Rattus norvegicus: one gene and its partner. Each later gene encodes a partner of the first gene's protein in a complex. Links are inferred from orthologs where the notes say so. Each region holds a gene or a part of one and is shown on either strand. Other genes may lie near its edges.

Region 1 (4,232 bases):
GAGACCCCAACGCCAGGAGGGATGGTGATATGGTGTCTTCTGTACTATCAACAGGGGGCAGTAGATGCCTTTGGAAGCTGCTCTGGGGCCTTTGGGGGCTCACAGCCCTGGCTTGTGATATACCTCTTAATCCCAGCACATCTGGCGGGCTTTAGCAGCTCCAACCCTCCTCTGATCCCCAGGGGCCCCAGAGCAGCAGGGTTGGGGCCAAGCCATGATCTGGTTTCCTCTGGGTGGGGTTCAGGAGCGGGAAAGGAGCAAGGGCCCGGCCCCAGTGAGCCGGGTAATGCAGGGCCTGCCTAGACAACCAAGGGCCCTGAGCCCCCACAGGTCAGACAAAGGTTCCTAGGGCGGTAGCACCATTCTCTGGGGTTGAAGGACATGTTCCGAGTTGTCTGTGCAGAGGCACCCATAGGCAGGGGTGTGTGGCAGGCTGGGAGAGGCCCAGCTGCTGGTCGAGGGGCGCATTTGCTTCTCTTTCTGGGCAGAAAGGCAAGTTCACTACAAGAGGTGGGCATTACTCTACTGAGCCCTGACTACCTATCACACAGGGCCCAAGAGAATGGTTTTTGGTTTGGGGGGCGAGTGTGCAATTTTGCAGGAGGACTGGTGAGGTGAACAGTCAATCAGTACAGGGGCCCAAGCAGGGCATGAGCACCCAGCAGGCAATGAGTGGCCAGATGGGTGCTGAAGTACAAGGCCACACATACCATTTGACAACGACTCTAGTTCAACCTACTCTTGGTGAAGTCCGGTTTCCCTTGGAGGAAGACTTCAGTGGATGCTTTGAGCTGGGTACCTTGGCGACCCACATGGAAGATTACACTTGCTGTCCTGAGGGCTCTTGCAGGAACAAGGGTGGCATCTTGAACTCGTCATTGAGACATAAATAGAGCAAACCACCCCCCACTCCCCACCCCAAGACTTCTTGGACAGGCCAGCGCCTGGGCTGGCTGGCCAGGCGGCTGGGCAGGTGGGGAGGCTCTCCTCCTCTCTGTGCCCCCATTGGTCTGAGGAGACTCCATGCCCTTTCTGAGCAGGGGCCCGGCCCAGGGAAAGCAATTTATACCCCTCCCCCTGGCCCACCAGCCCAGCTCACTGCTGCCGGCTTGACCTCGCTCCCAGCACTGCTGCACAGAATCTAGGTGAGGCCAAGCCCATCTTCTTGAGGTTGAAGAATAGGGCACTACTCAGGCGAGCTCACAGGAGGACTTCCCTGGGCAGGGGCTTGGGGGGGGGGGGTCTGGGGTCTCCAAGATCTCCCACAGATCTGAGATTGAGAAACAACAGGTGCTGCTAGGCTAGGGCAGGGGGTCTTCAACAGGCCTGGGATAACAGGCTCTGAGTCTGGGGACTCGAAAGCAGGAGAATGTTCAGGTCAAGCAAGTGGGGACTTGAGCCCCCAGGCCACACGGAAGAGCACTTTCTTCCAAGCATTTACTTCTCAAGTCAAAGGAGCAAGAGTTAAAAATAACAGGCTCACTCTGGCAGCCACCTGTGCTGGCCAGCCCCACCCCACCCCTCCCTCAGGGACAGCTGCAGCTCCTCAGGCCCCGCCTAGGACATTTTGGGAACACTTTCTCCTCTTACTTCTCACCCTCGGGGTGGGGGTGGGGGTGGGGGGAGATGTCCTCCAAATCCTTGCCCTCTGAGAAGGTCTGAGTTGTGGGTAGAGCAGAAGTGAGCTAGTGAGCCCAGGTCTCCATGCCAAGCCTCCCGCAAGGCGAACACTGACACCATCACCTCTCTCCCCACAGGCTCAGAGCTTGAGATCTCAAGATGGGAGAGTAAGTGACACCCAGGATGACCTGAACTGCAGTCCCCTCACCAGGGTTTGGGTCTCCTCTCTCTCCCTTCCCTCTGTGGCTACTGCCCACCCCTTCAACCCCATCAACCCCTAAGTTTCAAGGCTACTCCCATGAGCCATGATCTAACGTCTCTTTTTTTCTCCCACTCCTACCTCCCTCTTCCTCCTGGGACAGTGAGGAGGTGAGTATCGTTGGAGGCTATAATGGTCCCCTGAGGCTAGGACAGAAGACACCCCTGTCAAGACTCCCAAATGCCCCACCCCCTGAACTACCCCAGAGAGAGAGGAAGTGCCCGCCTGGTGTTTTGTGAGGCAAGGGAAGTATGACTTAGGTCTAGTCACAAAGGAATCACTTCTCCTTTCTAATTTCTGTTCACCACTCACCTTCCGGGCCTCCCCTTGCCCACAGCCTCTGAGGCCTGGCCATATACTGCCTCCTCATCCTCATTAACCCCTTCATCCCCATGTACCACCTAAGCAAAATGTCAGGACCACAGGCATGTGTCCCTGAAGCAGGCCCCAGACTAGGGAAAAAACAGGGCCCTGGGCAGTGGCCTTGTTACCTCCTTGGGAACCCCAAGTCAGATGGCTCCCAAGGAGGTCAGAGCTCTAGCCAAAGCCTGACTCTGACCCCTCTGTCCTGTCCTGCAGAAGCGCAACAGGGCCATCACGGCCCGGAGACAGCACCTGAAGGTAAGGGTGGGCTGCTGCAGAGGGCTGGGGGTACAGAGGTAGGAGTGGGAGTTCACGGCGGACCCTCACGCCCACCGCTCTGTTCCTCAGAGTGTGATGCTCCAGATCGCGGCCACAGAGCTGGAAAAAGAGGAAAGCCGCCGCGAATCCGAGAAGCAGAACTACCTGTCAGAACACTGCCCGCCTCTGCACATCCCAGGCTCCATGTCTGAAGTGCAGGTAGTTCCTTCCTGCCCCGTACCACCCAAGGCCCTGCTACCCCCATTTCTCAGCAGATCAACCCTATTGGATCAGGACTGGGAGGGGACAGTGGTCCTCGGGTATCAGGGTGGCCACCCACCCACTGCTCGCCCACCCAGGAACTCTGCAAACAACTGCATGCGAAGATCGATGCGGCTGAAGAGGAGAAATATGACATGGAGGTGAAGGTGCAGAAGAGCAGCAAGGAGGTGAGAGGGAGGAGTCAATGGTGAGGGGGTGGGGCATACGGCATGGGGTGGAGTCAGTGGTTTGCGGGATGAAGGGAGTAGGGCAGGCTATATGAATGGGGGAGCCAGGCAACATGGGTGAAGCCAAGCGATATGGGGGTGAAGCCAGGTGGTGTGAAAGTAAGGTCAAAGATACAGAGCAAGGGCAGGGTCCTAAACCTGGCTCCTAAACCTCCTCCTTCCTCCCAGCTGGAAGACATGAACCAGAAGCTATTTGACCTGAGGGGCAAGTTCAAGAGGCCCCCACTCCGGAGGGTGCGTATGTCAGCTGACGCCATGCTGAAGGCGCTGCTGGGCTCTAAGCACAAGGTGTGCATGGACCTGAGAGCCAACCTGAAGCAGGTCAAGAAGGAAGACACTGAGAAGGTAGGCCAGGGCCCAGGGGAGAGCCAAGAAAGAGAGAGTCCACTCACAATCCCTTTTACAGTAAACCAAGGCCCAGGGTAGTCTGGAGCAGACCGGGGTGGATCTGAGACCTCTCTCGTCCTGCCCTCAGGAGCGGGACCTGCGTGACGTGGGTGACTGGAGGAAGAATATTGAGGAGAAGTCTGGCATGGAGGGTCGGAAGAAGATGTTTGAGTCTGAGTCCTAACTGCCTACTTCCCCAGTCCCACCCTACCATTGGGGAAGCACCTAACATCCAGTCTGGAGTACTTGGCCTCACTCCAATAAAGGATTCGCATCCCTTCCACTGGTGTGGTCTAGTTCTGTCTCTGCTTCCTCTGGAGCCCATCAGCAGTGATCAGCTGTGTGGTAGGACAAAGGCCATACTGCTTGGGTACAGTCCAAAGACCCTGGGCTGTACCCTGTAACTCATGGGTGCGATCAATGTCTAACATGACAGGACATGGAGAAAGATGACCATGGGACTCCAACATGTGAGTGGAAGTTTTGGGATCAGCTTCTTTGTCCCTTGGTACAGTCATTCGCTCAGAATGGCTATGACAGGCACACTCCCAAGGCAGCAGGCGCAGTCTCCATTCCTCCAGCACTGCCCTTTCTGAGGGGTCCATCTGAGACCAGAAGTCAGAAGCCATCCTGAAAGGCTGACCCTTTGTGTCTATCCCCAGACTAGGCCTACATCATCCCTGCCTCCTCCTACACTTAGTGCCTGTCCCTCTCTGGACACTGAGGGATGAAGGAAAGGCTGGGCCTGTGCGGTTTGCCTGGATCTTCATTGCACCTCACAAGGTCAAGAATACACTCACCCTGAGGAACATAGAGCCTGGGATGGTTCAGCACTT
Region 2 (4,447 bases), on another chromosome or scaffold:
CCCGCAGAGCAGGTCGAACTTCGCCCGGCACTGAGCCACCCAAGCCTCCGGCCCGCGTGACCCCTCCTTCTTTCCATACCCAGCGGCTCCGGGGGACGCTCTGTGCGTCAATCCAGCCAGGCAATCCCTAAGATCCTTTGCCCTCAATCAGTCCCCTGGTCAGTCAGGCCAGCTTTACATTGTCTGCTTTTATTCCTTCCAGCCACAGAGCCCAAAGGAGCAGCCTTTCCCTGGTAGGGCAAGGAGGCAAGGATGGAGTTGCCCACGCCCAGGGGACCTGCAGTCTGGATGAACACGAAGACCAGCTCCTTACTGAACGCCCTCCATCATCTTCAGAAACTCTGCGGAGAAAGAGTGGGATGATGTCAGGCGTACCGCTCAGGGCGCAGAGGGGTGCCTAGTCTTTAATGGGGACATTGCACTAAGCTGCGGAACATCCTAAGGGGCCCCCCTAGAGAGTGGGAGGAAACTTAGCCTAAGCCCAGCCCCACCCACAAAGCCAAGAGCCCCAGCCACAAAGCCAAGAGCCCCAGCCACAAAGCCAAGAGCCCCAGCCACAAAGCCAAGAGCCCCAGCCACAAAGCCAAGAGCCCCACCCACAAAACCAAGAGTCCCACCCACAAAGCTAGCCCTCACCGTCGAAGTCAATGCGGCCATCGTTGTTCTTATCACCATCCTTCATCAGGGATTCGATCTCCTCGTCTGTCACATGCTCCCCAGAAGCCCGGAAAATCTCAGCCAGCTCCTCGGCATCAATGTAACCGTCTGCGTTCCTTTGGGAGAGAGGAACAGAACAGGACACAGGGTCAGCCTCACCCTGGCCAGCCTGCCCCTTCGCTTCAGGCCCGCAGGCTCCATCTGCTCCCAAGTCCGGAATCCCAGAAGCCCCACGCACCTGTCAAAGATGCGGAAACACTCAGCCAGTTCCTCTTCGCTCTTCCCTTTCGCATCCTCTTTCATCTGGCGCACCATCATGACCAAGAACTCTTCAAAGTCGATGGTACCGCTGCCTGCAAGGAGCAAAGCGGGGGCGGGGCGGGAGGTGTTAGCCCAGTGTGTGCTGAGCCTTTCCTCCCCGTCCCTGCCTTGGGGGAGCCCAGCTCACCATCCTCGTCCACCTCCTCGATGATGGCGTCCAGTTCCTCTTTGGTGGGTGTCTGCCCTAGCATCCTCATCACGGTACCCAGCTCTTTAACGCTGATGTCCCCACCACCATCAGCATCAAACATGTCAAAGGCAGCCTTGAACTCTAGCGGGGATGAGACGGAAGAAGCGATGGGTGAGGCCAGTTGGATGGTCAACTTTACACCTAATCTCCCCCAACGGCCCACCCTCACTCACCAGCGATCATCTCCTCGCTGAGGTAGGACCTGGCCTCAGCCTGTTGGTCCGTCTATAGGAAACAGAGAGAATCAGAGCGTGGAAGGGCAGACTCTCACCCCAGCTTCAGCTTCCCCAGCCCTCTCTTATATTAGGAAGTGCCCCACCCCCCAGGTCCTCCAGAGCCACTCCAAAGCTAGCTGCACCTCCCAGGTACCCTTGGTGACCATCCCCAGTGCAAAGGGGACATTGGTTATACCCACAGTTTCCCATTTATCTTCGGAGAGCCACATCAAGAAACCCCCATCCCAGCAGTGACTTTTGGCAAGTCACCCTTCTTGTGACTTTGCTGGGATAATAGGACATCGGGGGTAAGAGAGGGCTTGAATGTGTTAGCACTATTCAAGTGTGATTTTCTGATGTCCCTGTCTTCTAATGCTGCCTGGGACTTGACTAGCTGGTCAATAAGTATTTGTCCTCAACTAAATAGCAGAATGCAAAGCCACAGAACATCTACCAAGCACTCGGACGCTGAGACCACAAGAAGAGATGGGCAGCTTTGTGTCAGAGGGTTCTCGGGGGCAAAACTTCTCACTAGGTCATCGGGGTAAACACCTCTCTCACTGTCAAATGTGATGGGGCCATGCGTTGGTGTGAAAATAAGACACCTCTGTTCTGTTACGACGTCCTGGTTTGGGTGTTTAGATAGTCTTGCTGTGTAGCTCGGGTTGGCCTGGAGCTCCACATGTAACCATGAAAGTAAGGTTTCTGTGAATTTTTTCCAGGCCACTCTGGGTCAGGGCTTTGGACTCGAGGTGGTGAGGAAGGGGTGAGTCCCAAGACATTCTTTAGCCAGCTGGCCCAGTTCCTCCTCCCTCCTCCGTCCCTTGGCCTGATCCAGGAGGATAGGCTATTTTTAGTTGGGCATTGTCAATGGCAGCTGGTCTCTGGAGTCCAATTACTCCTTCAAGTGAAGCGGGAGGGTACTCAGAAGAAAGTGGCAGCCCCAGATCAGGGCTCCTCTGTGGATGGTCAGGGTCTCTACCTCTACCCTGTCACCCAGCCCTACTAACCACCATCCTCTCCTCGGGATTCTTAGAGGAAACCTTCCTTCTCTGGTTGCCACAGGCTTGGCTGGGCCCATGGAACCTACTCTGTCTGCCTTGCTGGGAGACTTTTCTGCTTTCATGGTCTCCGTCTCTCCTAGGGAGCAGACAGGCTAAGACCCTTCCCACACAGCTCTGGGTACCCAATAACATTGTCCCAAGCCTCAAGGTGGCCAGGAAGTCATAGCCTTGAGGATCAACTCCTGGACTATCCTGACCCCCTCCCCCAGCCTTCCCAGGATGTCTCCACAGGACTTGGGTTCCAACAACCCTTATCTTCTACCTTCAGGCACCCACATTACTGCCCACAGAGCACACAGTTCTAGGACTGAAAGAGGCCTGTGGACAAAAGCGTGAAGACCCTTCTTGTCCTTACCATGGTTGCTGGTGACTGGGACTCCTCTGCTGTGGGTCCTCTCCTCCGCACTCCACCACCCAAAGGTGCCCCAGATCTCTCTAGCCTTCAGGATTTGTAGGGGCATCCTCTCTTCCCTCCTCCCTACTCCCCAGAACTGGATACCCTGACCAATCAGGTGCAGGGGGCAGCAAGCCCCTCCCCTCCCAGAGTCCTAGCCCATTACCTAATTTAGCCAGGGTCCTTTGCAGGGAAATTTAAGCTTGGAGCAGGTGGCAGTCTCTGACGTTCTCCTAGATTCTTAGGAGGGGGCCCCCGCCCTGCTCCACTGTCTTAGGGAGCTCCTCCCCCACCCCCAGCACACTTGTTCCAAAATGGGGGAAGGATGTTCAGAACAAGAGCACAGTAGAGTGGAAAGAGGCCAGTCTTGAGGTCCAAAATCCATTCAAGACTCTGTTCTCCCTCTGAGCCATGTGAGTGGGGGCGGGTGGCGAGGGCCCTCCAGGCACATCGTCCTCCAAGACAGAAATGGTAAGCGTGAGCCCAGATGACTAAGACACCTAAGCTTGCGCTGGGTGCCTAGGGTTGGCGTTTGGCCCAAGAAGGGGAAGTGATACGCAGTACTGAGGTAGCGACGTGAACTCCCACAACTTGTCCCCCCACTGGGCTGAGCGTCTTGATTCTGTGATCTCATCTACTCTTCATCCCGTGAAGAGGTAACTATTATTATTCCATCTGCCTAGAGCATAAGTCGTGCATCCACAGAGGAACTCTATTCCCCACTTCGGAGGCCAGATCTCATATATTGAACACTGGCCTCGAACACCTGATGTAGCTAACATTAATCTTGAGGTTCTTTTTTTTTTTTTTTTTAAGATTGTATATCTATTGTATGTATGTGCACTAGACTGTCACTGTCTTCAGACACACCAGAAAAGGACATTGGATTCCATTACAGACGGTTGTGAGCCACCATGTGGTTGCTGGGAGTTGAACTCAGGACCTTAGCGAGAGCAGTCAGTGCTCTTAACCTCTGAGCCGTCTCTCCAGCTCAACCTTGAGGTTCTAATCACCCCTACTTCCACCTCCAGAGTGCTGGGGCTTACAGGCATATACCAAGCCCATTTAAGTCCTTTGATTTATTTTGCAAAAGAGTATTCCCTGTCAACTGAGCTGCCCTTGAACTCCTGGGTTCAGGCGATCCTCTCACCTTAGTCTCCGGAATCACCGAATCACCGAGGCTATAGGCATGCTAGATTAGGGTGCTGGGTGGGAAGTCAAGCCTCGGCTATGTGCGTGCTGCAAAGTACTCTACCCACTGAGCTACACCCCCAGCCTTGGTGATTCTTTCAAAACTTAATTTTCTTAATGTGCTTCGTCTGCACGTATGTCTGTGCACCATGTGCATGCCTAGTGCCCAAAGAGGCCGGAAGAAGGCACCGGATCCCACAGTTTCGAGCTACCATGTAGGTGCTAGGAATTGAACCAAGGTCTTCTGCAAGAGCAGCAAGTGATCTTAAGTACTGAGCTGCGGCCTTGGCAACTCCCATTACTTAACCTTTGTTGTGGAAAAATTAGGATGAGCCTGACCCTAGGGGCCCACCTAGAAGCGTTCAGAGTAAAGAGCGTGCGCCTCATGTTGTGAGGAGAAATGAGCATTGACAAA

The links.
Region 2: the proteins of Tnni2 (region 1) and Tnnc2 are in contact, whole or in part, in a crystal structure (PDB 1A2X), measured with the Oryctolagus cuniculus proteins. The link is inferred for Rattus norvegicus from reciprocal best matches to the Homo sapiens genes TNNI2 and TNNC2. Residues at the interface, in NP_001076252.1 of Oryctolagus cuniculus: Glu5, Asn8, Arg9, Ile11, Thr12, Arg14, Arg15, Gln16, His17, Leu18, Lys19, Ser20, Val21, Met22, Leu23, Ile25, Ala26, Glu29, Leu30, Glu33; in NP_001076114.1 of Oryctolagus cuniculus: Ser13, Glu15, Met16, Ala18, Glu19, Ala22, Lys91, Leu96, Glu98, Cys99, Arg101, Ile102, Phe103, Arg105, Ile119, Phe120, Ala122, Ser123, Glu125, His126, Val127, Glu131, Ser134, Leu135, Asp138, Phe152, Met155, Met156, Val159, Gln160.

Annotation. Positions count from the first base shown.
Region 1 is NC_086019.1:207,023,356-207,027,587, forward strand, and holds Tnni2 (troponin I, fast skeletal muscle), read left to right. Parts: upstream 1-1,134; 5' UTR 1,135-1,145; intron 1,146-1,757; 5' UTR 1,758-1,779; coding exon 1,780-1,787; intron 1,788-1,982; coding exon 1,983-1,989; intron 1,990-2,456; coding exon of another isoform or gene 2,457-2,458; coding exon 2,459-2,500; intron 2,501-2,590; coding exon 2,591-2,719; intron 2,720-2,859; coding exon 2,860-2,949; intron 2,950-3,177; coding exon 3,178-3,354; intron 3,355-3,484; coding exon 3,485-3,580; 3' UTR 3,581-3,677; downstream 3,678-4,232. UniProt on the Homo sapiens protein: Troponin I is the inhibitory subunit of troponin, the thin filament regulatory complex which confers calcium-sensitivity to striated muscle actomyosin ATPase activity.
Region 2 is NC_086021.1:173,932,442-173,936,888, forward strand, and holds Tnnc2 (troponin C, skeletal muscle), read right to left. Parts: upstream 2,899-4,447; 5' UTR 2,806-2,898; coding exon 2,803-2,805; intron 1,394-2,802; coding exon 1,342-1,393; intron 1,250-1,341; coding exon 1,106-1,249; intron 1,011-1,105; coding exon 896-1,010; intron 774-895; coding exon 637-773; intron 342-636; coding exon 310-341; 3' UTR 170-309; downstream 1-169. UniProt on the Homo sapiens protein: Troponin is the central regulatory protein of striated muscle contraction. Tn consists of three components: Tn-I which is the inhibitor of actomyosin ATPase, Tn-T which contains the binding site for tropomyosin and Tn-C.